Diceros bicornis minor: one gene and its partners. The protein of the gene in region 1 interacts with the protein of each later gene in a pairwise test. Links are inferred from orthologs where the notes say so. Each region holds a gene or a part of one and is shown in the gene's direction. Other genes may lie near its edges. The genes, in order: NFE2L2, MAFG, MAFK and MAFF.

Evidence for each region.
Region 2: the proteins of NFE2L2 (region 1) and MAFG interact in binary tests that used the Homo sapiens proteins (3 or more experiments, as listed by UniProt). The link is inferred for Diceros bicornis minor from reciprocal best matches to the Homo sapiens genes NFE2L2 and MAFG.
Region 3: the proteins of NFE2L2 (region 1) and MAFK interact in binary tests that used the Homo sapiens proteins (3 or more experiments, as listed by UniProt). The link is inferred for Diceros bicornis minor from reciprocal best matches to the Homo sapiens genes NFE2L2 and MAFK.
Region 4: the proteins of NFE2L2 (region 1) and MAFF interact in binary tests that used the Homo sapiens proteins (3 or more experiments, as listed by UniProt). The link is inferred for Diceros bicornis minor from reciprocal best matches to the Homo sapiens genes NFE2L2 and MAFF.

The regions. Positions count from the first base shown.
Region 1 is NC_080749.1:57,827,182-57,834,479, reverse strand, and holds the start of NFE2L2 (nuclear factor erythroid 2-related factor 2), read left to right. Parts: upstream 1-4,281; 5' UTR 4,282-4,285; coding exon of another isoform or gene 4,286-4,330; intron 4,331-5,298; exon of another isoform or gene 5,299-5,515; intron 5,516-7,298.
Region 2 is NC_080757.1:61,254,651-61,262,283, reverse strand, and holds the start of MAFG (transcription factor MafG), read left to right. Parts: upstream 1-4,623; 5' UTR 4,624-4,676; coding exon 4,677-4,916; intron 4,917-5,632; exon of another isoform or gene 5,633-6,226; coding exon of another isoform or gene 6,227-6,286; intron 6,287-6,743; exon of another isoform or gene 6,744-7,225; coding exon of another isoform or gene 7,226-7,351; intron 7,352-7,633. UniProt on the Homo sapiens protein: Since they lack a putative transactivation domain, the small Mafs behave as transcriptional repressors when they dimerize among themselves.
Region 3 is NC_080765.1:13,004,487-13,011,497, reverse strand, and holds the start of MAFK (transcription factor MafK), read left to right. Parts: upstream 1-4,003; 5' UTR 4,004-4,173; intron 4,174-7,011. UniProt on the Homo sapiens protein: Since they lack a putative transactivation domain, the small Mafs behave as transcriptional repressors when they dimerize among themselves.
Region 4 is NC_080764.1:11,638,860-11,646,614, reverse strand, and holds the start of MAFF (transcription factor MafF), read left to right. Parts: upstream 1-4,741; 5' UTR 4,742-4,925; intron 4,926-7,755. UniProt on the Homo sapiens protein: Since they lack a putative transactivation domain, the small Mafs behave as transcriptional repressors when they dimerize among themselves.

The DNA.
Region 1 (7,298 bases):
CCACTCTAGTAAATGCAGAATGGAAAGATTTTCAAAACTTGTGGTTAAAATTCAAATTGAAAATGAAATGGACCCAGTGGCTTGGGAGAAAAGCAAGTGTTCCTTCCTTACCACTACACGCCACCACCACTTTTTTTGCTTATCATTATAAAAGTAATACATATTTATTTAGGAAAATACAGACAGGCAAAAATGAGAAAAATAAAATTATCAGTAATCTAATCAGAATGATTATGGTTAACATTTTGGAGTGTATATGTTCAGTCTTTTTTTCCTGTGCAGGTATATTTATATAGGTATCAACACATATAATTCAAAAGCACTCTTAAACTTCTGAGCTTTTCTCTTTACTTACTGCGCTGCAGTTCCTGCAGAGTACTGTTTCTATTATGACCAGGAAACTCTATGAGTTAAAACTGGCTTTGGAGATATACAGCTCTTTGTATCAGTAGTTTGCATAGTGAAGTGTGCACACCAAGGAACCAAGGTTATGGGTGTTTTTTTGAAATTAATACCCCAATTATTTTGAATGCTGCTGTACTGGAGTTCAGTTTATCCACTGGGCATGCTGCTCCTGAAGTTCAAATTCCCTCAGCAGATATTCAGCAAGTATCTTACATAACTGGTATAAATGAGGTCACGTCAGGGCCAGAATCTCTGTACGTGTTTATACCTCCATCTACTTAATTGATGAAATATCTGTGTTCCTTAAGTGTATTTTGATAAGGAGAATATCTCACTATCATCTATTTAATAGTATGATACTGATGCATGCTGTGATGAGGTGATTTACTTTGTATGTAGCAACAAGTATATATTATAGGAAAGATACCTTCCTCCTTCACAGGGAGGGCAATTTGCTTCTGAGGATTTGAGAATCTGTTAAACTGCAAAGTACCATCCCTATATGTGCTCCTAAGGATGATTAACAAACAAAAGGCAGCCAGGAGAAACCTTGCCTTCTGTATTCAATATATGCTGTTTTCGTTATCTATTGCTGTGAAACAAACCACCCCAAAACTTAGTGGCTAAAAATAACATTATAATCTCTCACAATTCTTTCGACTGATTGGGCTCAGCCAGGCAGTCTTCTACTGGTCTTGCTTGGAGTTTCTCATCTATGGTTGCAGTCAGAAAGCAGCTGGGGCTGGAGTCCTCTGGGGCTTGACTAGGTAGGCTGGAAGGTCCAAGTTGGTTTCTTCACTCACATGCCTGGTGCCTTCTTGGCTCATATAGCATCTCTCCACTTGGAGTCTCATCCCCCAGGGTTGTCCCCATGGCTGTCTTCCCATGAAGAGTGAAACTTCTTACATGATGGCTGACTTCTAAGAGTATAAAATTAAAAGCTTTCAGGCCTTTTAAAGGCTTAGGCAGAGACCTGGTATAGTGTCACTTCCAGCCTCCTTCCATAAGTTAAAGCAAGTCATTTGATTCAATGTGGGGGGACTACACAAGCACATCAATATCAGGAAGGGTGGTTCATTGGTTGCCACCTTTGGAAACTAGCTGCTTGTAAGCTGGACAAATTTAGAATTTCAACTCTAATTTCAAGAGAGTCTGGATATTTTCTGGCTTGAACAGGGAGTACAATTAAGGGGAAGTGAAAAGAAGAGGGAAGAAGTCTCAAGGTGATGAAGGATTTTGAAACAGTGGTACTTTCTTGGGCCTTTCAAACTTGGCACGTTAGATCACCAAGAAGAAGGTGAAATAATGGGTCACTGCATCACTATCCAAACTTTGCACACTCAGAAGGCTTACTTGATGATGCTCATTTTTTATAAGAATTCTAGAGCAAAGTATTACAATTCTGACACATTTCTAGCATATATGGAAGGTTGTCTTTCCAAAGACAGCAAAAAATTCAGACATCAATGGAAATGTACAAGGGTTAGTAGAATGTGAAACCAAGTGGGGGAAAAAATAAAATAGTAGCTAGGAGACCCTAGCAGTAAAAAGGACTCCCCTGGCACCAGGACAGGAGAAAAAAATCAGCATCCTCTTTCCTGTTCCCCTGGAGCTTCTGAACGTGCAGCATCTGTGCCCCCATAGCACAATATGTAGGTTTAGAGGGGAAGGCCTAGGTTTTCACATGAAGACCATCTCATTTCAGTGTTTGCAAAGACTGAGAACCTCCTTGACATGGGTGGTCTGAGACTGGGGTTCCCTTTTCTTGTGCTGAACCACCATTTAACACCAAACAGCTTTTCCTTAGTGTTTATTTTTCTTAAACATGTTCAGACTCATCATATTGTTCTCCTCCCTTTGAAAATATGTACTCTGCAGGTGCCTGAAATAATATACTTTCAGCAATTGCCGTTTTGTAAAAGTAAAGGTTATTTCATTCAATCTAAACTCAATGGAAAATTGTTGCTTAACAAGGAAATACCAAACACTTTATAAACTCCTTGAGGGCAGCAACCATGTCATATATGACTTTAGTATCTCCTACCTCCTGGGCTTATTGTCTGCCTTCACAGATTTAGTAGTATTAATAAGTAACTTGAATTGTTAAGAATATACTCTTGTGCCCTTCTTTGACGCAGACATGTCATTTCGTTATGTCTCTGCATGTTTCATGTCAGATTCATTGTAAATAACTTCCCCTAAACTTGTTTTCAGTGTGCAGATCATTTTGCCGGCTTTTCACATAACATCTGAAAGGGTTTAATTCAAGTTGAAGAAGCTTGCTTCAATTACAAGCAATTAATTTAGGCTTCACTTACCTCAAGGAATATTTGAACATATAAATTTACAGATAAATCCGGGGAGTGTCAAATTATGCAACCAAGAGAAAGTATGTTCTTTGCAGATTTTAGGGCGTTGATCTGCTATAGTCAGGCTTTTTTTTTTCCCCTTGGCATCAGGTTTTTGAATGAAATAGTAAAATCACTGCGGGCACTGTCTACTCACCTGGTTTTGCATAATTCCAAGAAGCTAGAAACTGAAAAGCAGACTTGTTAAAGAGTGAGGAAGATTGTTAATGTATAAAAGAAAAAACCAAAACAAAACCATTTATCTATTCTCTTTTAAATCTTGAAAGATGTCACAATATTCCTGTTTTCAAGTACTTGAAGTTTTCTGTGGGCAATAATTAATTTTTAAATAACTGTTTTTAATGTAATACATAGTCATTTTAGATTTAAAACATACTTAAAGTAACAAAGAGAAAGATAAAAATTATTCATGATTCTACAACTATTAATATTTTGGCGAACAACTTTCAATTTTTTTTCTAGGCACATGTTTTTACAAAACGGGTCCATATCATACAAACTATTATATAACTTGATCTTTTTTATTTTCATTTTTATCTTTTAAGTTATATCGTACGTGAAAAGAAACTTGCAAAGATTATGGCATGTTGCATTATCGCAGTGTTAAAGGACGCCATCTCTGGTGTGGTGCGCGCGCCTTGGTGGGAAGAGAGAGCTCCTGGCCAGCAATACTGACCACTCTCCGACCGAAAGAGACTTCTCCGTTTGCCCTTGGCAACCTGAGTCTAGTAAGAGTGCAAGCGCGTAGGAGTAAGTGGAGGGCGTTCAGGGTGATTGCGAGCACGAGCTCCCCGCGCGGTCCACATTTCCCCTGGGCAAGTCCCACTGGCTCCAGCCCCGGGGGGGGGACCGATGGCGAGAGGCCAGTTTGCGGTGCGCACGGCCTGGGTCCCAGCCTTCGGCCCCCGCCCCCGGGGCTGGCGCCACTCCCGGGCGGTTGGGTGAGATAAAGCGGGGCAAGGTTCTGCAACTCCAAATCAGGGAGGCGCAGCTCCGATACCAGCGCCTCTGCCGGGTCTCCAGGCGTGTTTGTTCCAACTGTTTAAACTGTTTCAAAGCGCCGGAACCCCAGCGACCTTGCAAACAACTCTTAATCTCGCGGACGGAGAGCGTGGGTTTTGTTTGCGGGGCAGAGCAAATTCAGAGCGGAGACCAGAGAGCTAATGCAGCCCTCCTCCCGGCACCCCGCCCGCCTGTCCACAGGGACCCGCGCCCGCGGCCCTTCCCCGCCCCCAGACCGCCAGCTTCTTGCGTCAGCCGGGGCGGGGGTGGGGGATTTTCGGAAGCTCGGCCCGCGCGGCCAGCGGGGGAAGGAAGGGCCTGGGCTCGTGCCCCGCCCTCGGGGGGCGGGAGGCGGAGCAGGGCAAGGGCCCGGCCGGCGACTCCGGTTGTGTCGCGGAGAGGGAGACCCGAGGAGCCGCCGCCACCCGTGCCGCCCTGTCCGCGCCGCGCCTCGGCAGCCGGGACAGGGCCGCCGTCGGGGAGCCCCAGAGCACGGTCCACAGCTCAGCATGATGGCCTTGGAGGTGCCGCCACCGGGACAGCCGTCCCAGCAGGTGCTGCCCCGGCCCTCCGGGCCCCGCGGTAGTGCCAGGACGGGGACAGGGGACCGAGGGAGCCGCGGCCCGGGAGGGACAGCTGCAGCCGGCTTCTCCTCCCGTCTATGGCTGGAACCTGTACTGCAGCGGCCGCGCACTGGAGCCGCTGCGCTTGCGCCGGGGCCGGGCTGGGAGGGGGAGTGGGGACCCCAGGGGCTGCGAGTGGAGTGGGGGGCGCGGTCGGGTGGTCCGACCAACAGTGTGCCCGCGGCCCCTGAGGGCGACTGGGTTGGGCTTTGGGGGCTGCGCCCACGCGCGTGGGGTGAAGGGGTGTCCCCGGCCGCCGGAGCTGGGACGCGGGAGCCCCGGCCAGCCCCCCGAGTTCGAGCAGTCCCACGGGCGGCAGGGCAGGAGGGGGCGGACGCTGGCGGTCTGAGCCGGCGCAGCCCGGCCCTTCCGGGGCTGCGCGGCTCCCCCGCCTCGGAGTCGGCAAAAATGTGCCTAGTCACGGGGCCGCTCTCGGGGGAGCTGAGGTCCCCTCCGGGCAGAGACCCGGAGCCCCTCCTCTGCCGTCGCCCCCTGGCCCCATGAGCTCCGGGAGCGCAGGCTGCGGTGCGGCGCTTTCACCCCGCCGGGCCGTACAGGAGTGCTTCTTTGCAAAGTAATCAATCAGTCTCCCCATCCGATCGCTCTTAAGCACTTGGGAGAGAAAGCCCAACCCCCAGGGTGGGGGAGGGAGGAGGTCCTGAAGTGCCCAGCTCGCTCCGATACCCCGACGTGCGGCGGCGGCACCGAGCCCCGCGCGCTCCCTCGTGCGGTGGGAAAAGTTTGGGCTCGTAGACCCCGGGTCGGCCGCTCGCAACGCGCCGGGAAGTGCAGGCGGGGCAGCGGACTCGGAGGTCAGAGTCGGCCGCGCCCCGGGCGTCTCGATCCCCGCGCGGTGCCTCCGGGTGGCGCACGCCGCGTGCGTGGCCTCGGCCTCCGTGACAGTGGCCAGTTGGCTGTCACGGCGGCCCTCGGTTGGCCCTTTCCTGCTTTATAGCGTGCAAACCTTGCCGCGTCGGGGCCAAGGGACAAGTTGGAGCTGTTGATCTGTTGCGCAATTGCTATTTTCCCCAGGGCGGCTTTGTCTTTGGATTTAGCGTTTCAGAATTGCAATTCCAAAATGTATAAAGCAGGATATTCTCTTCTCTGCTGTCAAGGGTAAGAGTTGCTAGTGTACATTAGCATTTCTATTGCTTTTAGGCTGTTAGTAATTTTTTGCTTTCATATATTATTTCTCCTTTGAGTGCTTTATATAATTTTCCTTTTCTGTTTGACAATTTGCCTCGATTTCTTGGCATGTTGCTTCTTTTGCAGGGGCAGAGGATGAGACATTTGTGTTTCATAGTTCTTTGCTAACAGGTTCTGTAAATTGTTATAAAAAGTGAAAACAAGTTTCTGTTCATACTTTGTAGAGACTCTTAAAGGAGTAGATATTTATATTTCCAAATTTTTTTTTTGTACTTGGATTCGTAGGAAAAAATATTTGGTTCAAGGAGATGTATAACTTAATAGATACAATAAATATGTTTGTGCTCTTAAATGTAAAGTTTTAGACTGATCCTGAAGATCTAAAGTAAGGTTTTAAGTTACTGACAATGTATTAATTGTGGTTTTTTTTCTTTAAAGCTTTTTGTCTTGAACTTTCCCCCAGTAATGATTAGGATTGTATTCCTCGCCTTCCCACTACTATGAAAAAGTAAATTGTGTTTTCTATTTAGCTGCTGTTCAAAAGTAATCTATATAGCCATTTACATAGTAATCTGTATGACCAAAAGATATATGATGCTAATGGACTTTAGTTTTCCTAAATTCAGGAATTGTAGCCTAGAGCCCTCTATTTTTTATTTTTTTCTTTCTTTACTATGTAATTTAACATTCTATATACAAAAATGCGTAAAGCACATGTACTGCTTTCTCTTTTAAATATGAATTTTCCAGTTATGTTTGATGAGGTAACTGCCTTTCCGCCTTTGTAATCGGACATCAATATGCATATTTGAAGACTATGAAAAAAGAAAATGAAGTAAAATTTAGAATCAATTTCATGTGTATAACTATGATTCATATTAAATCACTGTTTGTAGTCCAGAAAGATTTGAACAAAGAGTCAGAAGTGGATTCTGACCTTTTTTCAGGAAACTCCAGGTGTAAGATAGGAGTATCATTCAGTTTTTCGTCTTCTGTGCAGAGGAGGTTTATAACGAACAGGGCAGGAAGGAGAGTCTTCAATTCTGTATTTCCATTAGGTGGAAGCAACCATCCATTACTCTTTTCAAGAAAAGAGTACTTTCGTATAGGAGGGATGAAGTTGATCTTGGCAATAGACTGATAAGATTATTTTTAAAAGAAAAATAGGACAGGCCTCTCATCTCCTGAATGAATGTTAAGCAAAGAACAACTTGACTTTTTAGATAGGTGAAGAATCTCTTGAGAGATCATGGAAGTGGCATGCAGGAGGATAAATACACAACTCACATCAATCTTTCTGCATTAAAAATAACTTGGTCCATTTTGGAATCTTTCTTGTTAACTTGGGTTTTTATAAAGAATGCTGGAAAAAGCAAGTGTCTTTCTTTAGGATTACCGGGAAGAGTTGAAAGCCAAATACATTATTTTTCTTAATATTTATTTTTATTCAGGATGAATTATACTTACAGAGCTGCATGAGAAAAGGAATTCTCTGTGGACAATAAGCACATTTTTTTTCCTGGGAATTTCCTCGCTACTGGCTGAACGCATTTAAAGGGGGTTTTGCATAAATAATATTTCCTCGATCTGGGGTAACTTTTCCATGTAAACGCTTGGGTGCAGGAAGAATTTGGCACTATGACAATGATAGATGAGTTATTGGGCACTTCCTTGCGTGCCAGGCATTGCGATAATTGCTTCACATGCGTAATTTCACAGTAACCCTGTGGGAAATACTATTAGCTCCAGTTTC
Region 2 (7,633 bases), on another chromosome or scaffold:
ACATTCAAGACAAGGGCTCCTCAGATGGTTGAACTTCTGAGGTGACTGGCACACTCAGTCCACTGTCTCCCATTCCTAACCCAACCCACAGATGCTGTCACTTTTCTCCCTGACCTTTTACGTTAAATAAACTGGTTTCCAGCCCCAGTGCCCTGACTTCTAATGTTGTCACCACATGTGGAGGGAGGCCATCCCCTGGCCAGAGAACTGTTGTCCAGTGTAACAGCCAGGCTGCCGGGGGTGGGGGGGGGGCTGAGCATCCCAGTGAGCAGAGGGGGAAGGAGCTTCCGGGGAAGGGTGCAGCCCTTTGGCCTCAGTCACTAGAGGCAGGATGGAAGCTGGTACCATAAGCTGGGCTTGGCGTGCCCTGCTGTGGGAGGGGCACCAGCCTCTGCATCCTCCAAGCCTCCTGGCTTGGTGGGGGAAATGTCTCCTCATCTCACCCAGGCGGGGCCAGGGTCACATGAGGAAGGAGCCCCCTTGGGGGTGTATTAGAGTTCTCCAGAGAAACAGAGCCAATAAGAAATGGTTTATATATATAAAATAAGATAAATATAGAGAAAAAGAGATTTATTATAAAGAATAAAGAATTGGCTCATGCAGTTGAGGTTAGCAAGTCCATGTACAGGCTGGACCTACAGAGAGCTGATGTTCCAGTTCAGAGGCCATCAGGCAGGGAGAGGCAGTTATAGGTGATGCCGGAAGGCAGTCTGCTAGACAATTCTCTCTTACTCTGGGAGGGGCTGTCTTTGTTCTATTGGGGCCTTCAACTGACTGGATGAGGCCCACCCACATTATGGGGAGCAGTCTGCTTTATTGATTAAAATAATCTTGTGCAAAAACACTCTCACAGAAGTAGCCAGAATATTTGACCAAACATCTGGGCACCCTATGGCCCAGTCAAGTTGACATATAGAATTAACCATCACTGGAGGCCCATAAGATCAGAGGAGCTACTGAGGGTCAGAACCCTTTCTGGGGCCAGGAGTGCTCACATTGGTTCAATCAACAAACAGTTACCAAGCATGCAGACAGTAAGATGAGGCTCCTTGTTTCCAGAGGTTGGGACACACACACACACACACACACACACACACACACGCTCAAGTATGTTAGGGGAGCTGGGCTGGGTGTCTGTGGGCTGTGTGGGGGGAGCCCCAGGCGAAGCAGTGGTTCCCCCCAAGGAGCAGAGGAGGGGATCAGGAGAGCTGGGCAGAAGTTTTCGAGGAACCACATTGCAGGGTCTCATCTCCAGTTCTCCTTCCTCTGGGCCCACTTAGAACCAAGGCCTGGGGCACGTGGGGTGGGTGGAAGGGGCACTTTGGGGACAAAGGTACAGCCTCCAAATCTAAGGGGAAAAAGGAGACAGGAAAAACGGAAGAAAATGCACAAGAGATAAATGAAGGGCAAGACTGCGTTCCTCGTCCCTGTCAGGGTAGCCTGGAGAGTCCTGGTCACTCCCCCCAAAAAAAAAGAAGATGGGGGGGTGTGCTGCTCCTGCCACACGCACCAGGTCTGAGGGTCAGAGAGAGGCGACCAGGTGACTCTAAAGTGGGGGAGAGGCATGTCACAGCCTTGGAAGAAGAACAGGAGTCCAGACAGGCTTTGCAGCGGGGCTTGGTGCCGGCCCGTGAAGAAGACGCCGGATTTCAGCAGGCAGGACCCATGAGCATTCTCGCTGTGGTTCCGATTAAGCCACAGGCCAGAGCTGGGGCAGCAACAGAGTCAGATGGGGCCTGAGGGAGGGCTGTGACTCAGGCAGGCCAAAGGCTGCCGAAAGGGTTGAGGCGGCCTACGAGGCCCAGAGCGTTCTGCAGGGAGAGACACCACAGAAGCCACTGAAAGTGTGAGCACAGACCTGAGCAGAGCAGGAAGGTGTTTTACATGGATCCAGAGCAGGCCAAGAGGGAGATGGGCTCTGGGGGCCGGGGCCCCCCAATGCCAGCTGAGAAGCATTACAATGTGCCTTCTCAGAAAGCCGCAGAAAAATGTGGCTCCAGAAAAGCCACTGCAGGAGCCTCACTGGGCTAGGGTCAGCTTGGCAGTGCCTTCCTGGCCCATCACTACCAGCTCTGACACCTCCCATGGCCTGGACCCCCTAAGTGGGGTAGAGGCTGGAGTGAATCTTACTGTGCTTGGCCCAATGGGCTGGGTAAACCTGGTGGAAGAGCCAGCTCCCTCTGCTTGATCCAGCTCCTGCCTCAGTTTCCTAATTGGAAACTTGCCTTAGGCTCTTGCCTGCCTGGCTGAGGCTCTTACCCTGCCCACCTCTGCCAGTCCTTTCCTGTGCCAGGCTGACACCTATCCCATGGCCCCTGTGCAAGCTGAGCTCAAGCTCCAGAACAAATGGGTCAGCAGCTCCTGGCTGTGTCTGTTCCCAGGAGAGAGAAGGAGCGGGGAGGGAAATTCCTTGCTCCCGAGAGTAGGAGGTCCCTCAGGGAGAAGGAGCAGAGCAGCAGATGATTCATAAATTGGCCTCTCAGTTACCTCTCATGTGTAAATGGCAGCCAGACTCCATCCTGTGAGGATTGAGGAGTCAGGGGTACAGGAAAGTGAGTGAGGATTAGCCAGTGAGTGTCCACCTGTGGTAGCCCCCAGCCCCAGGGCCAAATCACTTGGTTATCAGTGTTTCCTGATGGCACCATGGTTCCAGCTTGACCTAGGTGGCCCCATGTCAACAGATGGGGCCTGCTGTACTCCCGCAGCCCAGCGATAGCTCGAAGTCCACACAGCTACTGAGCAAGACCAGGAGAACGGAGCCGGCACCTGGTGGTGAAGAAGCTAGAGGAGACAGAGCCAATAGGACTGCATCCTTGGCCTCAGTGGCAAATCTTTGCTCTTGTGTACATTACGAGTTGAGGGCTGGGCCAGCCCGTGGTGTAATGGTTAAGTTCGGTGCACTCTGCTTTGGTGGCCCAGGTTCACAGGTTCAGATCCCAGCTGTGGACCCGGGCGGGCTTGTCAGCCATGCTGAGGCGGTGACCCACATACAAAATAGAGGAAGATGGGCACAGATATCAGCTCAGGGCTAATATTCCTCAAGCAAAAAAAAAGAGGAAGATTGGCAACAGATGTTAGCTCAGGGCCAATCTTCCTCACCCAAAAAAAAAGAGTTGAGGGGCCGGCCCGGTGGCTTAGAGGTTAAGTGCGCATGCTCTGCTATTGGTGGCCCGGGTTCAGATCCCGGGCGTGCACCAATGCACCACTTGTCTGGCCATGCTGAGGCCGCATCCCACATACAGCAACTAGAAGGATGTGCACCTATGACATACAACTATCTACTGGGGCTTTGGGGAGAAAAAGGGAAAAAAAAAAAAGGAGGAGGATTGGCAATAGATGTTAGCTCAGGGCCGGTCTTCCTCAGCAAAAAGAGGAGGATTGGCATGGATGTTAGCTCAGGGCTGATCTTCCTCATAAAAAAAAAAAAAAAAGAGTTGAGGGCTTTAGAAGTCATGTCACAGGTACATGAAGGCCCTAAGTATGTGACACTCGGGCTATACCCAGTGTAGGGGGATGTGCCCTGCCCTAAAGAGCATGGGATGATACGAGAACCACAAGCAACCCTACAAAGTAGAGAGTGACAAGGAGCTGTGTGTTCAGAGAAGTTCCTGGAGTCTGGCAGGTGATGCTTGTGATGGCTTTATGCTCCCTGGCTTCAGAGGCTTCCTTGGTTGGCCTTCCTCATTCATTCAGTGGCACTGCATTCTCACAAGGACCCCACAGCGGGTGCCTCCTCTGTCAGCTCACCTGGGTTCCATTGATCTGCCTGGCAGGGTGGGTCACCCTTCCTGGCTTTACACCTGAGCAGCAGTCCAGAATTGGAAGTGGAAGTTGGAGCCCTCCGATTTCCCTTCTACCCCTTCATGGTCTTTCTCTGGGAATTTTGAACAGCAGTGAGAACTCCTTACAGAAAGGGCAGGAGCAGACATGGATACGTGAACTGAGTTCCAGACAGATGTTGATGAAAAAGGAAAGGCAAGGTACAGTTCCTACATCAACTATTAATTTAACAGATGTTTACAGGCGCACCTGCTCTGAGCCAGACACGGTCCAGACACAGTCCTTCTCACTTATGTGAGTTCTCCGGGTGTCGGGTGAAAACGGACCACACTAATCACACTACTGGGAGGATCCTGGAGGTGGCCTGAACGGACCTAAGTTTGAATCTTGGACAAGCCTGTCACCTCTCCGCGCCTGTTGCTTGTCTGTGAACCAGGCCACTGTTCCTGGCATGGCTGAGGAGAGCTCTCCAATTACGCGAGGTAATAATACATGTAGAGCCTGCCGTGCGGCATCAGAAACACCAGGTAATGCCCGGGGACCGCGGGTCCGCACCCGCCCCCTGGACGTGGCCAGTGAAAGTGTGTGCACACCAGGGTAAGGAAGGCGCCTGGGCAGGACCCGCGGCTCCCGCTGTGGAAGCGGGGTGGGGGGGTGGGGGGCAGTGTAGCAGGTTAAGGGTGGGCGTGGCCGGCGGGGGAGCGCGCGTCCGCGCCAGTCCCGCGAGACCCCGCTCGGGCAGGGCGGGGCGCGCGCGTTGTCGGGGCGACGGCGCTGGGCGCGCAGGCGCAGTACAGGAGCGCTCCGCCGCCGCCGCTGCGGCCGCTTCAGCCGCCGCTGCCGCCGCTGCCGCCGCACCTTCCCCTTTAAGCCCCGGACGGTCGCGTCGCCGCTTCATGAATGGAGCCCACGTGACCAAACATCATGTGACGTCTGTGGAGCGGCGGCGGCGGCGGCGGCGGCGGCGGCGGCGGATCCCAAGCCTGGTCCGGCCCGGCCTTCCCAGCGCGCTCGGCCCGGCCCACGCAGGCGGCGAGCACGCCCCCCCCCCCCGCCCCCTGGGCCCGGAGCCCCCGCGCGGCCTCGGAGAGCCCCCCGCCCCGCCCCGGCCTCGGCCCGCCCGGGCCTGCAGTGTGGTGGGTGAGACGGCGGCGGGCCCAGGCCGGGCCGGCGGGGTCGGGCGGGGGGCGTGCGGGGCGGGCGGGGGCTCCGGGCCCGGGGGCACGGCGGGGCCGCGGCTCCTCCTGGTGGACCGGGGCGGCGCGGGCTGGGCGCTCCTGGCTTCGGGTCTGCCCGCACCCTCCTGGCGGCCCGTGCCTCGACTTCCCCACCGGGGAAGCAGCTCTTGGCTCCTGCTCCTTGGGTGCTGGGGGTGGGCCGCAGGAGCCGGCGGAGCTCGGGGCGGGGCGTGTGCGGGACTGGCTCGGTAGAACCTACCGCGCCCTGGAGGGAGGGGCGGCCGGGGTGGCGGGAGGAAAGGGTGGGGTCGAGCGGGACGCTCGGGGCTCCGCGGAAGAGCACGGCGGCCCCGGCTGGAGCTGCTGATTCATCAGGTGTCCGTGTCATCGCCTCCCGGGCGAGGGGTCCTTGGCGGGCCGGGGGAGAGAGGTGGCACGTGGCAGGGCTGAGAAGACCCTGCTCCGTCGGTTTCGCCCCCTCACCCGCGTGCCAGAACCCAGAGGGAGACTTGCTGAGTCATCAGCATGAGGTCACTCGATGCTCATGTTGATGCCTGGGGGGATTTGAGCTAGGGGCTTCAGGGCCTGAAAGGTCGGGAAACGAGGAGTAGGAGGGAAACCGTGGGGATGTGGGGAATAAGCCCGGCCCAGGGGCTGGGGCGCCTGTTTAAGTTTGGGCTGATGAGCGAGTTGAGGGTAGGGCCGTGAGGAGGAAGTGGAGGGGCCACCTTGCAGCTTATCTCCTGGTCTGGAAGGTGAAGTGTCTGGCCTGTCTGGCCTCTCCCAGGCATGCTACTCTCTGGCAGCTGGTCCTGCACCCGCATCTGGGACAGTTCTCCAAACTGGGAAATAGTTCTCTGAGTTACAGGAGGGGAGGAGCTTAGGGGGGCCGTGCTTGCTGGGCTGGGAAGCAGGCTTTCCCTGTGACGAGTCTGGTTGGCCAAGCTGGGCAGCCCTTGGGCAGGGAGAATAGGGATACACCCTGGCCAGAGAGAGAGGCAGTGGGAGAAAGAGAAGTGCCTGTACTTGAGCCCTGAGTGACGGTGGACAGGGCAGGGGGCAAGCAGGGGCAGCTCCACCAGGAAATTGCAAATGAGAGGAAGCAGCAGGACTTAGACGCCTGGGGAGCAAAGTGGTGAGCAGGCCCAGCCCTCCTTCGCAGCCAGGCCTTAGGCTCTGGGTTGAGGCTGCAGGCAGTGGTAGCTTCAAGGGTGCCTAGCCTTCAGAGCACGGTAGGTGGGCTGGTGTGGATGGCATAGAGTGGAAGAATGCAGTTCTCAGTCACCCCAAAGTTGTCCCACCTGAAGTTGGGGCTCAGCGTTGAGGAGGTTAATGAAAAACATGGCCCTGATGGGTGTTGAGGACTCTTGGGGAGTGACAACCCAAGGGTAATGTGGCCAGAGCCACCTTTCCTGGGTGTATGGGTGGTTCCTGGCCTCCAGGGATGAGAGTGTTTTGTCTAGACCAGAACTGACCCGTCTTGCCCAGGGGTCATGGTTAGCTTAGGTTGGCCTTGGGGTGTGTCCCCAGGGATGCCCCCCCCATACACATTCACACTTAGCCCTAAATCTTCTTATTTACTTATGCTTTAGTGGAAATGAAGTTGTAGACTTTTTCAGAGTGGCTTTCAGTGGCTGAGGGCTTCTGGAGGAGGTGGGAGTGAGGCCGGGTTAGGTTGAGTACCAGAGTGCCCAAGGCCACATCTGCCTAGGAGGTTTGGCCACGGGGTTTGCAGGCCAGGAGAAGGAGCAGGGGTGGCTGGCTTGCCTCCTGCCTAGTGCCACGGGGTTTGCAGGCCAGGAGAAGGAGCAGGGGTCGCTGGCTTGCCTCCTGCCTAGTGCCCATGCCCTGGAGTTGGGTCCAGGGGAAGGGGATGGAGCTGCCCAAACCTCTTTCCCCTTCCTGGCTGGCTCTGAGCCTGAGTGGGAGGCCCAGGGTACCTTGGTGGATTGGGGCCCTTGGGACCCTCCGTTCCTTCTCCATGAGGTGGGCTCAGCCTCTGGGGAAGCAGAGCAGGGAGGAGGGCTGGTGGGTGTGGGGGCAGTTTCTCCTTGATCCGGCCTCGGATCCCCTCCATCTGGCTTCTAAAGATGCCCTGAGCCATCACTCCTAGCCCATCCCCAGAGGCTATCTCTGTCCCATCAGTGTGTGTCCCCAGGTGGGCAGCAGAGGCCAGGAAGCTGGCTTTGCTGAGACCTGCCCCTCCCCCACCACCCACCTTTGATTAGGAGGCGATTGGCTGTGCTTGTGCTGAGTTCAGGCCTTCTATGGAGGGTGAAATCTGTCGAGGAGGCACTTTTCCGCTCCCAGCCGCCACACTTGGCACTTTTCTTGTGATCTCTTCAGGAAGTCACCATTGTGCTCAGCATTCAGGGGTGGAAGAAGGATGGCAGGTGGGAAAAGCTGGTGTCAGGGCTTTTCCTTTGGGCTGACAGTGGTAGGACACAGGGCAGTGTCCCTGCACCCCGACTTGGGGTCAAGGCTGGGGGAGCCCCTGCAGCTCCGCTGCGAGGGCCTGACTCCCAGGGTGGGTGTGGGTCCGTGAGGACCTTCTGATCTCCAGCTCTGGTCTGCCCCATCTTCTGCTCTGGAAGAATCATGCGGCTGGAGCCTCAGGGCCTGCCTGAGAGCCCCGGGTGGCCTGTCTGTGGGGAGGTGCCTCTGGCCTCCTTCTT
Region 3 (7,011 bases), on another chromosome or scaffold:
GTGGTGGACAGCGCCGGACAAGGGAAGGCGTCTCAGAGCACTGCTGGCCATGCAGAGAAGCACAAGTCATTCCTTCCACAGTCAGCAAACACCCGCCTGCAATGGCTGTCCCCTTACAGAGCGTGGGGTTAAATACTGGCCCGGTTCAGTTCCTAGAGAGCTGTAGTTGTCCACCCATGGGGCAACGTGCAGCAGGATGTCCCCAAGTCTGGCCTATCCAAGGTTCCAACCCCTCACCTTTCTGGGGTTAGGGCGCCTGGGGGTGTTTATGGGAACTCTGGGGGGTAGTAACTGCTGGGGACCACTTCAGGGAGACCAGCTGCCCCCTCAGGGCTGGAGATAGCCTTTGCCCTGCCTCTCCTCTTCCCCACAGAGTAATGGATCGTGGGGCCTTTAGTGTCCCTCCCTGTCCCTGGACTTTGGCCAGGGCCACCTGAGTTCGCCCCATGGCACTCCCTACCTCCAACTCTCTGGAAGGAGGGCAGGGCAGCGTGGACCCTGCCCCTGCCAGCAGTGCCCCAGGCTCTTCCCCAGGAAGAGCTCCACACAGCTGGGCGATGGGGCCTGGTCCACCCAGTCCTGGGGCCCTGATGGTCGAGGGACTCTTCCCAGGGCAAAGAGGGCAGTTTATCTGGCATAACCCATGCTGCCTCTGTCGTCAAGCTGCAATAAAAGGGACCACCTATCAAGGCCGACCAGGGACCAGGCAAGGCGCACAGGTCCTCACGGCTGTTTAGAAACTGAACTCTCACGAGAGTCCTGCATGGTTCCCTCTCTTTCATTTCATTTCAACTTAATTTTATAGTTTTGAATAGGTAATACACTTACACGGTCCAACAGTGGAAAGGAAACAACGTGAAGAGGTTTCGTTTCTGTCTGTGCCCCATCCACGCCTGACTTCCAAGGCAGCCCTTTCTATTAGCTTCTTGTTTTCCCCCCAGTCTTCCTTTTGTAGATTCAGACAAGCACGAATCCATGTTTTCCTCTCCCTCCCCTCCTCCCTAAAGGCAGCACATCACACAACCAGTGCTGCTCTTTGCTCACACATTTACAACATACCCCGGAAGTCTTCATGTCCAAGTACGGGGATCTTCTGCATCCCTGTCTTTACAGCTGCGTGGTACTCCATCGTGTGATGTCCCCCAGTTTGGTTAGCCTGTCCCTTAACGATGACAACTTGGTGGTTTTCCACCTTTTGCTCTTACAGCTGATGCCACAGTGACGAGCCTCGTATACTCTGAGAACAAGTAGGGTCCAAGGTAAGTGTGGAAGAGGCTGCTCCACGCCCCTCCTGCATCCCCACCAGCAGCATGAGAGGGCCCGTTCCCACATCCCCATCAGAGGATGTGGTCTGATTTTTGGATTCTGAGAGATGAGAAATGGAATCGCAATGTCATTTTAACGTGCTTTTCTCTTATTATGAGCATCTTTTCCTCTGTCACTTAGATTTCTTTTTTTGGGAATGATCTATTCATATCTTTCACTCCTTTTTCGTCTTTTCCTTCCATATTTCTAGGAGCCCTTTGTAAATTAGGGAGATGGTCCTTCGTGACGTGGGTTGCAACTGCTTATGGTGATTTTTGCCTTAAGTCTTTTTCTGGATTTTTAATCATGATTAGAAAAACCTTTTCCCATTCCAAAGTTTTAAAGGAAGTCACCCATATTTTCTGCAAATATTTTAATGTTTTTTTAAATTTATTTTTTTTTATTGTGGTGAAACATACAAGACATGGAACTTACCATTTTAACCAATTTAAGTGTACAGCTCAGTGGCATTAAGTAAATTCACATTGCTGTGCAGCCGTCACTGCCATCCATCTCCAGAACTTTCTCATCATCTAATGGTTTCTTTCACAAAATGTTAAATCTTTGATCCATTTGAAACATATAATGCTGGTGTACAGTGTGGACAGACTGTGGACCCAACTTTATTTTTTTCTAAACGGTTATCACGTTGTCCCAGCACCATTTATTAAAAAGCCCATCTTCATTCTATTTTATTAAGCCCATTTTAAAGTTGAGGAAACTAAGACTAGAGGGGTGAAATGAAGAGAACCCCCCACAAGGTCACACCATAAGTGTGACCCGCGTCTCTCACTTCTGCCTAATTCCAACCTCTCAATGCCCTTCTTTCAAGAAGTTAAGGAGAGTAATTAGACAGTGCTCTCTGTAACCCAATATTAACGTGAAAAGACTGCAATCAAGTTTGGGAAATGAGGACACTCACGGGAAACTCAATTATCCCCGACCACGGTGGCGGAGTCCTGCAGAGAGGGGCCACAAAGTGGGCGGCTGCAGCTCTGCACCCAAGGCCAGAGAGTGTTGGCTAGGAAAAAGGGGAAACACCTTTGAAATCCCGGGGGGAAATCACTCTGAAAACATCCTGGAGAGATGGGACAGCTTGCAACTGCCGCTGCTGATCTGTGTATTGGCGGCTGTTCCTGTCGAGGCCATCAGCAAACACCAGCACGCCTGGTTGTCCCACAAGGCAAGTGCGCCCGACAGAGGCAGGTCGCTTGGAAGGAAGCCCACGTTCTCCGCAGAGAGAAGCCACAGCCGCTTGCTAAACACAGAGCCATGCTGTGCTGCTAACTGCCAAAGGAAGACCCACAAGCTTCTTGGCACTTTTTCCTGTTTGTTTCCCAGGATACACCCAAAGGCGCCTGAGACCCGCAAACACCCCTCAGCAGATGCAGTGTGCGCCCGTGGGAGGCCTGCCGTCACTCCCAGAGCCTTGGCGGATTTCCCTCGCTCCTTATTCAGAACTGAGACGTGCAGCCCCATTGAGGCAGCTCATTATTTCCCAGAGAGGGATGCAGACACGGTCAAGGGGCTCAGCCTCCCGTCCAAGTGCTGGCAGAAGGGGAGTGAGGTGCTGGGCCCAGCTGCAGGCCCGGCGGTGTGACTTTGGACGGGTCACCTCTCCAGCTTCGTCCTCCACCTGCGCAGGAGGAGGCTGCTCCCCTGCCGAGGCGCCGGGCCCTGAACTGAGACCAGGGCGTCGTATCCCCGTTCTGGGCCCCGTTTGCTGGGCCTGTTTCCACAGGGCGACCATCAGCTGGGGTTTCCGTTGGGCACTGTTCCTCAGGGTCCTGGGGCGCTGAGGCTGTGGGTCAATGCCATTTATCACCATCTTACACTGTTTGCTGTCCTACAGAAATCATTCTCTTTACTCTTTCTTGATCAAAAATGGGAACTCAAAAGACAGATGGGGGTGTCCGTCAGGAGGGGACGCCAGGTGCCCTTTCCTCGTGTGTGGGGCTGGCCTGCCCCGCAGACGGTGGTGTGTCTTGGACGCGTGCAGCCAGGTGGTCTCCTCTTGTGATTAAACCACGCCACTCTGAGACTTGGATATAATGTCCGGAGCACTGTCCCCAGAAAGCAACCTCCAGCCCCACTCACCCTGCGGAGGCCGCTCCCCACTGCGAAGACCCCTCCCCGCGAAGACCCCTCCCCGGGAGCCCTTCCCCAACGCGGGCTTCGGCTGCGACCACCGCTGGGGACGGCGGGGTCTCCCGAAGGCTCCGGTGAGGCTGAGGGGATACGCAAGGGCCTGCCTGGGAATTTGGGGTGCAGACAAGAGCGCGCCCCGCCCCGAGCCCCGAGAGGGCGCGCTCCAGGGGGAAATGGGGGTGCTCCTGGATCGGTGCGATGAACGAGGATGACTGCCGCCACTTGCGAGTCTCAGTGTGCGCCGAGGCTGCCACCACGCGGGCGGGCTACACCTGGGAGCACAGGTACAACCTTACAGCCCTGCCCAGGTGGGCACGGGGACTGCTTCCCCGCCGCCGGAGGGGCAGACGGGAGGCGCTCGGTGCGCCTGCGCCGGCGGGGGCCGGGCCTGTGAGGGAGGGGCGGTGAGCGGTGGGCGGGGCCTCTGGTGGGCGGGGCGAAAGCTCACGGGGGTGGTGGGGCCCCGCGTGGGCGGGGCGGTGGCGGCACGCGGTGGGCGGGGCGGCGTGACGTGCGCCGACGCCGATCCCGGAAGCGGTGTCAGATGCTGGGAGCCGGCGGGCGGGCTGGCGGCGGACGGCGGGGGGACTTGTTGTTCTTCGCGAAGTCCGAACCCGAGCGCGCGGCGGAGGCGGCGGCCCAGGGGGAGCGCGAGTGAGCGCGAGGAGAGCGCGTGCCCGCGAGGAGCCGCCGCGCGCCCGCGCCCCCGTGCGACGTCAGGTGAGAAGCGGCCGGCGGGGTGGGGCCGGGGGCGCGGTGGGGGCCTGGGGTGCGCGGCCCGCCGGCCGCTGAGTCATGGCTCCTCGGACCCGCGCGGAGTTGGGTTGGACCCCGAGACTGCGGGACACTTGCCGTCAGGTGTCTGCCTCGAGCGGCTGCGGGCTGGGGGTCTTGTCCCGCCCTTAGACGGGTCGCCTTCTTCTGGGAACGGGAGCGCCCCTGACTCCCGACCCCCGCTCAGGGCCCGAGCCTGGAGGCGGTGGACTCTCCAGGGCAAGGCAGGTGGGGAGCCCGGCGCCCGCCCCCCCCCCCACCTGCTCAGCCTTTACCCCGGGGATCCGCTCGAAGCGGGAAGGCGGGGGCGAAAATAAATGCCACGTGCAGGAGAGCGCGGGGAGCGCGTGGTCGCGCTAGGCCAACTCGGCCTCGGTCACCTGGACGCTTCCGCTGGCCCGGCGTGCGGTCCTGCCCGGCCCTGCGGCCACTTTCCACCCGTGACTGCGCGCGACATGGGCCACACCGCTCGGAGGTGGGCAGGGGAAGCAGCAGGGGACTCCCTGCCCGAGGTCACATTCTGAGCAGCTGATCTGCCCGGGGGTTCCCGGAGGGAGCCCTGATGTGGAGGCTTTGGGTGGGATGAGGTGCAGGGCAAACGTGTCGCTTCCCCCGTGGCCCGCGTCTCGTTTTTCTCATCTATGAATGGGGCATCTCCATGTCTTCTAATTTTAAATGCGGGTTCTTCTGTGATTCTGCTGAGTTCAGGAAACAGATAATGTCTCGGGCTGCCTCTTCCACGCACCTTCCCCGGAGCCTCGGAGGGGACGGGAGTATTTGGATCTGGACCCAGGTTTGTCCTAGGAAAAGCAGACCGCTTTGCCCTCTGTCTCCCACAGTAGTTGTGGGGTCTTCTCACCAACGCAGAACACATGCTGGAGCAGTCCGTGTTGGAGTTTGCTGAAGTCCAGCGCTCTCTGTCTTGTGTTAATGATTACGCTCTTGTTGACTTTTCACACAGCTCTTGTAGCTCAGGCAGAAGTGGGATGTCCCACCCAACAATTCCTTCAGCAGTTGACCAACACTCAGCCACCTCCTCTTGCCAGGTGTCTGACCTTGGGAAGCTCCCGAGATGTACACCCATGCCTAACACAGAATCACTGGGTGCCCACGAGTGTGCCTTGGGTGCCCACCTGCCCTCCCTTGACCCCTTTATTGGTGAGGTTTTGCTGTCACAGCGATCACTGAGCAGGTATCTTGAGAAAGTGTAGCTGTGTGTCCTGTGTGGCACCTCTGGAGCCCAGTCTCCAAGCCTGATGTCTGTAGGGGGGGATGGTGCTTTTTAAAAAAATGTTAGTCTAAGCAGGTGGGAGGGGTCTGGGAAGTTGGTGGGCTGTGCAGGTGGGTGGGGCGCACCTGCAACCTGTTGCATTGTGGGTAGCTGACAGGCTTCCTGAGCACTTCCCTCCCTCCGCGACCCAGGAGGAATGTTGAAGTTTGAGGGGGGGGGGGTCTGCTTTCAAAACTTAAAACTGGATCTCTCCTTATTCCAAAATAAAATGTTTATTAACTCAAAAACACAAAGCAAGGCTTCTCCCTGGAGCGCATTTGCTTTTTGTGCTTGAACCGAGCTGGACTTTAAGGGACTGGGTCCAAGTTCAGCGTCGCTTACTTTCAAGGTGGTTGCTAAAAATGGGAGTTGAGTTGAGGCTACTGGGGGAGTCGCTCTTCCTGAGTGTGGGGCTTGCTGCGTTCCAGTCCTTTCTCTGGCACCCAGGCTGCCGCTGAGCGAGGTCGTGTTCCGGACTGTTCTTTGTCCACCGTGCTTGCTTTCACTCCGGCGAGTTTGTTTATAATCACAGGCGACCTAGAAGAAGTACTGCCTGAGTCTAAAGGTTTCTGGCGTGGACTTTCTGGATTCAGGGTCCAGTCCACACGGGAAATGGCTGGGAGCGTTCTCTGTGTAGCTGCTCCTCAGAGCAGTAAACAGTGACTCACCCTCCTCTCGGCCCCCCCCCCCCCGCCCGCCGGTCTCTGCAATGGGAGATGCATTGCTCCGCTATTTACTTTTGCTTTTTATAAGTCACAGGCTTGTCATGTTTCCTCTTTCTTACAGTTTCAGGAAATTGAAAGTGTCATCTTAAAATCGTAGAATTTTAGAGCAGGTAGAAGTGAACCTGAGTTGCCACATGGTCCACACACACGCAGACCCCATTTTAAATGAGGAAACCAAGCCCCAAGGGTTCCTTGCCTGGCCTGCCACGGCAGAGCCCCATGTCCAGGGGCCAGTGCCGTGCCCTGCCTGCTGTCTGGGTGTCCTGGGCAAGGCGGAGGCAGAAGGTGTTGGGGTAGAAGCCATCCCCCGGCCCCCCTCCCTTCAGTGCAGTGCTGACACATCTGCTTATGCGGCCCCTTTCACCTGCCAGGAATTGAGAGGAGCGGGTGTAGGTGAGAGCATCCCCTCCTCTCCATCCAGTGAGGGAGGCAGGCCTCAGACAGAAAGACCAGGACCAGGTCTTGGGCTCAGCCCTTGATATGTTCTCAGGAGAGGGTGCCCGCCCGCCACAGGGAGGGCAGGAGGGGGGCTTTCTGATGAAGCGAGGGTTGGGCAGGGGATGACAGAAGAGTGGGAGCCCAGCACAGATTGGGGGGGTGGCTGTAAGAAGCCAGAGGTAGAGGCCTGGAGTGGCGACAGGCGACCAAGGGAATGGGGAGATTGGGAGGGACTCTGAGCCGGTGGGTCCCTCTGCCTGCCTGGGGGGTTGCATGTGAGGGACTGAGATGGGAGTCCTGATGAGAAGCCAGGGGCCTGAGCAGGGCGGTGCTGCAGGGCCAGAGCATCTG
Region 4 (7,755 bases), on another chromosome or scaffold:
GAAGGTTCCTAAAGGTGCTGAAAGGGATGCCTTTGACATCACTTCCACCCGGCAGAGGGACCCACGGAAAATTCGGGACTTGTCTGGCTGAGGGGGCCAGGGAAGGCCCCAGGGTCTGGGGACTGGAGCTCATGGAGCCTGGAAATCAAATCTCAGGGCAGGAAGGGCCTCCAGGAAATCGTAAAGCCAGCCCTGGTCTCCTCCGCCGCAGCCAGCTTCTAGCTGTTCTACAGTGTGGGATGTACAGCAGTCAACTTTTTTTTTTTTGCTGAAGAGGATTAGCCCTGGGGCCGGCTCCGTGGCATAGCGGTTAAGTGCTGGAGCTCTGCTGCCGGTGGCCCAGGTTCCGATCCCGGGAGCTCACCGATGCACCGCCTGTCAGGCCATGCTGTGGCGGCGTCCCATATAAAGTGGAGGAAGATCGGCACAGATGTTAGCCCAGGGCCAGTCTTCCTCAGCAAAAATCTAATCAGCTAATCTCTCTCTTTTTTTTTTTTTTTTGGTGAGGAAGATCAGCCCTGAGCTAACATCCATGCCAATCCTCCTCTATTTTGTATACCGGATGCTGCCACAGCGTGGCTTGATGTGTGGTGCGTAGGCCCACATCCGAGATTCAAATCTGCAAACCTGGGGCTGCCAAAGTGGAGTGTGCAAACTCAACCATTAGGCCACCGGGCCAGCCCACAGAGTCAACTTTTATTCGAAGAAGGTTTACTGTGGTTTGAGAGTGTTTAAAAACCACTGACCTAATCCTACACTCTCACTGCAGGGGGGGAAACTGAGGCTGGGAGTGAGGAAAGCCCCACACTGGTCAGCCAGGGGGGAGATCTGAGCTGCAGATCCTGGCTCAGGTCAAGCCTGTCGCTGTTACTGAGCACCCACTAATGGGCAAGGCACCTGACGTGGGCCAGGGTCCCTCGGGGACAGGCTTGGGTGCTGTTTGTTGTTTTGGGCTCCTGGACAGGTGAACAGGGACCAGCTGGGCCAATTAGAGTTCTGCTGGACTGCGCTGGCAGAGGGCAGCTCCCTCCCTAGAAACTGGCGATGAGGCCCCTCCCTGTTGGCCGGAGGTGGGGTCTCTGGGCAGGGTGGGGCCATCACTGGTTTTGTGTCACTCACCCAGGGAAGAGGCAGGTTTCTCAGGAGTGTCCTAGAGGAATGGAGATGACTCATCTCTCCCCAGTCCAATATTTATCGATCTTTTATTCAATACTAGGCACTGTGCCAAATGCTTATAAGTGTGAACACGTTAAATTGTGTCACAATCTATGAAGTAGGCACTATTAGTAAGCCCGGTGTATGAAAGAGGAGACGGAGGCAGGGAGAGGTTAAGTCACTCAGCTGGTGAGGGGTAAGGCCAGGATTTCAGCCCACAGGCTAACTTGAAAAAACAAAAAAAAACGTTTTTTTATTAGAACAAAAATTGCAAGAATGATAGAGGATTTCTGTATGTTCTTTACCCAGATTCCCCAATTGTTAATATTTTATCACTTTTTCTTTATACTCCTCCATCTATCCATCTGTCTGTCTGTCTATCTATCTATCCATCCATCTATCATCTTGTTCTGAACCATTTGAGAGTAAATTGTAGACACGATGCCCTTTACCTCTAAATACTCCAGTGTGCATTTCCTAAAATCAAGGACATTCTCTTACATGACCACAGAACAATGATAAAAATCAGGAAATTAATATCAATATGATATTATTTAATCTACAGACTGTATTCAGATTTTACCAGTTATCTTAATAATGACCTTACAACAAAGGAAAATCCTGGATCACACATTGTATTCAGTCATCGTGTCTCCTTAGACTGCTCTATTATGGACCAGTTCCCGGTCTTTCTTTGACTTTCATGAACTTGTCATTTTTCAAGCATGCAGTCCAGTTGTTTTACAGAATTTCTCTCAGTTTAGGTTTGTCTGATGTTTCCTCCCAATTAGATTCATTGTATGAGTTTTTGGCAGGAATACTGCAGAAGTGATGCTGTGTCCTTCTCAGTGTATCATTTAGGAGATACACATGCCAATTTGTGATATTAACTTTGATCACTTAGTGAAGGTGGTATCTGCCAGGTTTCTCCACTGTAGAGTTACTGTCTTTCCATTTGTAATTAATAATTGTCTATGGGGCAATACTTAGAGACTATGTGAATATCATGTTTCTCATCAAATTTTTGTGTCTGTTGATGATTCTCATTGGAATCCATTATTACTGTGGTGGTTGCCTAATGGTCATTTTCTAACTGTATCATTCCTTCTACCATAAGGAGGACCTTTCCCTTCTCCTTATTTGTTTATTTATTCATTCCTATTAGTATGGACTCATGGAATCTTCTCTTATTCAATAGATTATAATCCATCAGTACTGTTACTTCCTTTCATGCTCAAATTGTCCCAGATTTGGGCAGTAGGAACCCCCTTCAAGTCAGAGAGCTCCCATTTTTAAATATGACATCACACCATGTCCCTTGACCTTGACCAGAAAGGGAGCCACGTCTGTGGGGAGCAGGCCCTGCTGGGTGGATGCTGAAGCGCTGCCCCCTAATGCGTCAGCCTGGGGATGGGAGCAAAGGCCTAGGACTGAGGCAGCAAGGCGTCCAGGGGTGTCGTGCAGGTCTGCTGGGGACTCATTCACTAGTTGAGTACCTATTATGGCCTCAGCTCTTGAGAAGCTCATAGAAGATGGGGGAAGAGAAGTCCAACAATCACAATTATGCAGTTTCTAAAATCAAGAACTTTTGTATCCCAAGAGGTAACAAGAGTGACTCCCTTAGAGATGTAAATGTAGGGCAAGCGGGCAATGTTAGGGGGGATTGTTTGAGTGTAGACAGAGCTGCCTCAACACTTGGTCACTGGGAAGCTAGGGGGCCAATCTGCATATGAAACCCAAGGCCTTTGGGAGCTAAGGGACAGATGTTACAATCCCAGGGGCACCAAGGCCCAGAGGCAGGAAAGCATACGAGGACTCTGAAATCATGTTACATTATATTAAGGGCAGGGGAGCCTTGCCTGTGACCAGGGTGCCACATAAAGACCTCCTAGTTGGGGAGGTCCTATGCCCCACGCAGTAAAATCAGGAAGGTGCTGTGATGACAGCCTCACAAGAGATGGCTCTTGGAGTGAAGGCAGGCATGTCAGGCAGTGGAACAGCATGAGCAAAGGAAAGGGAGAATAAACTGCCCCCATTGTGCCCCCAAAGTCACCTCTTTTGGATGGGGCTCCAAGCACCGAACGCATTGTTCACATTTATGCTGGGCCCCACCTAGTTGAGCATAGCTCCAAACATCTGGACCAGGAATCAGTCAGATCTGGATTCAAATTCCAGTTCTTGTACTTCTTAGCCTGGTGACTTTGGAAAGTCACTTTACCTCTGTGAGCCTCTACTCATTTATTTCCTCCACGAGTATTTACGGAGGGCTTACTACATGCCGAGCACTGTTCTAGGCACAGGACATACAGTACTGACCGAGGTAGACAAGGGTCTACCCTCATGAAACTTACATTCTGGGTGGGGAAGACAGACACTAAATAGTAAGCAAATACATAAACATGATAATACCCTATGGAGATATTAAGGTAATATAAAAACAAATGTCAGAGGTGGGGGCTCCTTTAGCCACGGGGTCAGGAAAGGCCTCCCTGAGGCAGTGACATCTGAGCTGACCTGACAGATGAGAAAAAGCCAGGCAATGAACAGAAGAGGACACAGCCAGTGCAAAGGACCTGCGGCAGGAAGGAGCTTGGTGTGTTTGTGGAACCATAAGAGGGTCAGCGTCACTGAAGAGGAGTAGGTGACAGGTGAAGAGTGGTAGGAGGTGAGGCTGGAGGGTTGGATAGAAGCCAGATGGCTTAGGGCCCTGTAGGCCAAAGGGCAGATTATAGTTTATATTCTACATGTGAAGGGAAGCCAGAGAGGGTGCTAAGCCAGAGAGAGGGTGGGAGTGTGTGAAACAACCCGGTGTTTGCTTTGAGAACCCTGGTGTGTGAAGAAAGCCTTTAGAGGCAAAGTGGGGAGGCGATCAGGGGGCTGCTGCCGTTGTCCGGGTAAGTTGATGGCGCCTGCACCAGGCGGTAGGACTGGGGGTCGGGGGAAGTGGTCCAGTGCAGCATGGTGTTGGAGGTAGAGCCAGCGTGACTCATGGTGAGGGGAGGAAGGCAGAAGGAGCGACGGCGCGAGGCTCCTAGATTTGGGCTTGAACAACTGAGACAGAGGAGACTGGGCACGGGAGCTGAGTTAGGGTGAACGATCAGGAGCTGGATTTTGGCCGTGGAGTGTGTGCAGTCCCCCCCTCGCACCTACGGGGAGGCGCGGAGCGGATACTCGGATGGAGTCTGGAAGTGAGAGAAGCTGTTCGCTCTGGAAATACAGATTTGGGGCTCATGGGCATATAGATGGCATTTAAAACCACGGGACTGGATGAGATCATCAAGGCAGAGGGTGTAGGACGAAGGAGAAGAGGCCCGGGACTGTCGTCTGTAAAATGAGCCAAACGACATCTCCACCCACGCGGCTCTCGCGAGGTGTCACGTGAACGCACCCAGCGGGCGCTCGAAAAGGGGCTGAGAACCTCCGCGGCGCCGTCTGTGGGCGGGGCCTACCGGGGGCGGGGCTGCGGATCCGGGAGGCCGCTCCGGGCCGGTGGGCGGCCGGAACGGTGACGTCACCGCATGACTGGGTTTTTATGAATGAAAGGAATCCTGTGAGTGAGTAATTCCGGGAAGCTCGCCTTACAACTCGGCGCGGCCCCCCGCGCCGCCCGCCCCACAACAAAACTTGCCGCGCTCCCGGGAGCCCGGCTCCGAGAGACCTGCGGTCGGGACCGGAGGGGAGACGGGCCGGAGCGCGGGCCGGGACAGCAGCCGGACGGCGGCGGGACCCGCGCGTGCCAGGGGCGCGAGGCGAGGCGGGCCGAGAGGCGGGTGAGGGTCGCGGGGCCGGGACGGGGACGGGCGCGGGGCCCCGACGCTCAGGGTCTGCGCGCCCCGGGAGGCCCTGGGGCGGGGCGCGGGGGCCGCTCCGTCGGTGCTCCCGTGTGTCCATCGCCTGGACGGCTGGTGGGGGGTGTTGGGGGCAGAGGTCCGGCGACCGAGACGGGGCCGAGGCAGGCGTGGCGGGGTGCGGGGGTGATGCGGGCGCGGGCCGCGGGGCAGCGGAGCCGGGCAGAAGGGGCAGCGCAGGCGGGCGAGCGGCAGTCCGCCCAGGAGGGCGGGGGGCGGTGTGCACGTACGTGACTCGGTGAGAACAGTCCCTGGCCCGGAGCCCGCGGGCCGTGCGTGCGCGGTTTGTTTACGTCGGAGGGCGGGCGGGCGTGTGTGTGCCCTGGCGGGCGTCCGGGTGTCCTGCCCGGTGCGTGCGTGCGGGGTCTCTTGGAGAGAGAGCGAGAGAGCGAGCGAGAGAGAGAGAGAGAGAGAGAGAGAGAGAGAGAGAGAGTGTGTGTGTGTGTGTGTGTGTGTGTCCACCCGCGCGCTCTCAGGCCTGTGAAGATCCTGGAGTGTGTGTGTCCGCGTGTCTGTGTGTGTCCACCCACGCGCACCCAGGCTGGTGAAGACCCTGGAGTGTGTGTGTGTGTCTATGTGTGCGTGCTTTGGGCATCTCAGAGTGTGTGTGTGTGTCCACCCGCGCACTCCCAGGCCTGTGAAGACCCTGGAGTGTGTGTGTCCGTTTGTGTGTCCACCCACACGCTCCCAGGCTGGTGAAGACCCTGGAGGGTGTGTGTGTGTGTCTGCGTGTCTGTGTGTGTCCGTGTGTTTGTCCGTGTGTGCGTGCTCTGGGCATCTCAGAGAGTGTGTGTGTGTGTGTGTGTGTGTGTGTGTCTGCCCGCGCGCTCCCAGGCCAGTGGAGCCCCTGGGGTCTGCGTACTAGCGGTGCGTACCTCGGAGGCCGTGTTCCCACGAGTAAAGGCGGAATAAGGACCCAAGTGAGGGAAGCAACCCGGTCGGTGGTCACACGGGGTCCGGGAATTCTCGCCTGGGCTGTCCCCTTCTCACCAGCCAGCTGCGGCCAGTCCCCCGCTCTCCCTGGAGTTTCCCAGGGCCGTGGCCATGTGACTGTGGTGTTTGTCCCTGCGCCCAGAGCCGGCGCCTGCAGCACAGGGTGGGGCGAAGCATCAAAGACCCAGCTGGGCTGGGGGGTGAGGTGAGGGGGCCACCCCTCACCCCAGCACCCTGGTGGGTCTGGCAACAAAGTGAGCTGGCGCCCAGGTCCTTGTCCCTAGGTTTGAAGGCCGCCTGGGGGAGGCGGACCCTGGGCACTCTTCTTCATCCTCAGGGTTGCCCATCCCCTCAGTCTCAGGAGGAACAGGAAGGGCCAGAAAACCCACAGCAAAGGTGGGAGGTAGGAAGCGATCCCAGGCTTCCTCTCCTTGGTGGCTGCTCTGGCTGGCCTGGGTTCTGGAGGTTGTACCTGTTGGGTCTGGGAGGGTGAGACCAGGAGGATGGGGTGGAGCTGGTTTCTGCCCTCCTGGTGGTTTCAGTTCACGGGTGTGACTAGTCAGACAGACCTATCGATCGCCAGACCTGAGGAGCTAGTTGAGGGCCTGGCCAGCCAGAGGACCCAGGGTCCTCACCCTGGGCCAGGCGTGGTCCACAGGCAGTGGGCACGTGGCCTTGGTGTATGAAGGGTTAATGGGTGAGGGGTGGGGCCCTGACCTAGCCCCCCTTCACTTCAGTTCTGCGGGAAGCTTCCATTTAGCCCAGTAGCCTGAGGGGTGGGCTGGGGCCAGGGATTCTGTGTCCTGTTCTGCCCTCCCCCTCCTCCCACCCAGGAGGGAGGGAGCTGAGCTTGCTGGGGTGAGGAACTGGAAATCTCTTAACTGTAAACTTCTGAGCCCTGGTGAGCCCTGCTGCCACAGCTGGGAACCTCAGTGTCCCCATGTGCAGCAGGAACTAGGTGACATGGGAGGGCAGGATGGGGGTGAAATGGAGGAGGTATGGCAGCCTCCACACACAGCCTATTTTCCAAGGGAACTGTAGGAGAGAAAGCAGAGCCAACAGCCCCAGGCTGAGGCCAGGGATGTCCAGGAATATGTGGGGTTCGAGTAAGGGAGGTGGCCACAGGAGCATGGGACACAGGCAGACCCAGCCTCAAAGCTGGGCAGGAAACATCCCTGAGTTGGGCCAGGGGTCAGGGGACGAGGGGAAGTGGCTGGTTGACTCAGGCACAGATGGAAAGCTGGCACTGACAATTTTAACCTCCCATTGAATCACCCCTGGGCCTTCACTGTGGCCTGGGACCCAATGTGGGCTCCCTTGGCCCCTGTGCCTCCCTCAGTCCTGATGCTTTTAGCCTGCATTGCCATGGAGCCCATCATGGGCCAGATGCCAGGGATGAGATGGGGAACAAACCAGATCCAGAGCCTGCCCTCTGGGAGCTTACAGTTGCAGAGGGGAGACAAAATTGAAGGAAGAACCACCAAACTCAGTGCAAAACCACAGCTGAGATGGGTGGTATGAGGGGGAGGTCACTGTGGTTTGCAAGTATAGAACAGGGCTCTGACTTAGCCAGGGCAATCAAGGAAGGCTTCCCAGAAGAGGTGACCACTGAGCCAGGTTGTCAGATGGATTGATGATCGTCTGCGAAGCCCTTGAAGGCAGGGGCTGTGATTCATCTTTGGGTCATCGGGGCCCAGCCTTGAGCCTGGCACAAAGTAGGTACTTCTTGGATGTTTACTGATTGAATGAATGAATGAGCACTGGGTCCATGTCCTGGAAGAGCTTCACAATACATGGAGACAAAGGCCTGGGAACCCAG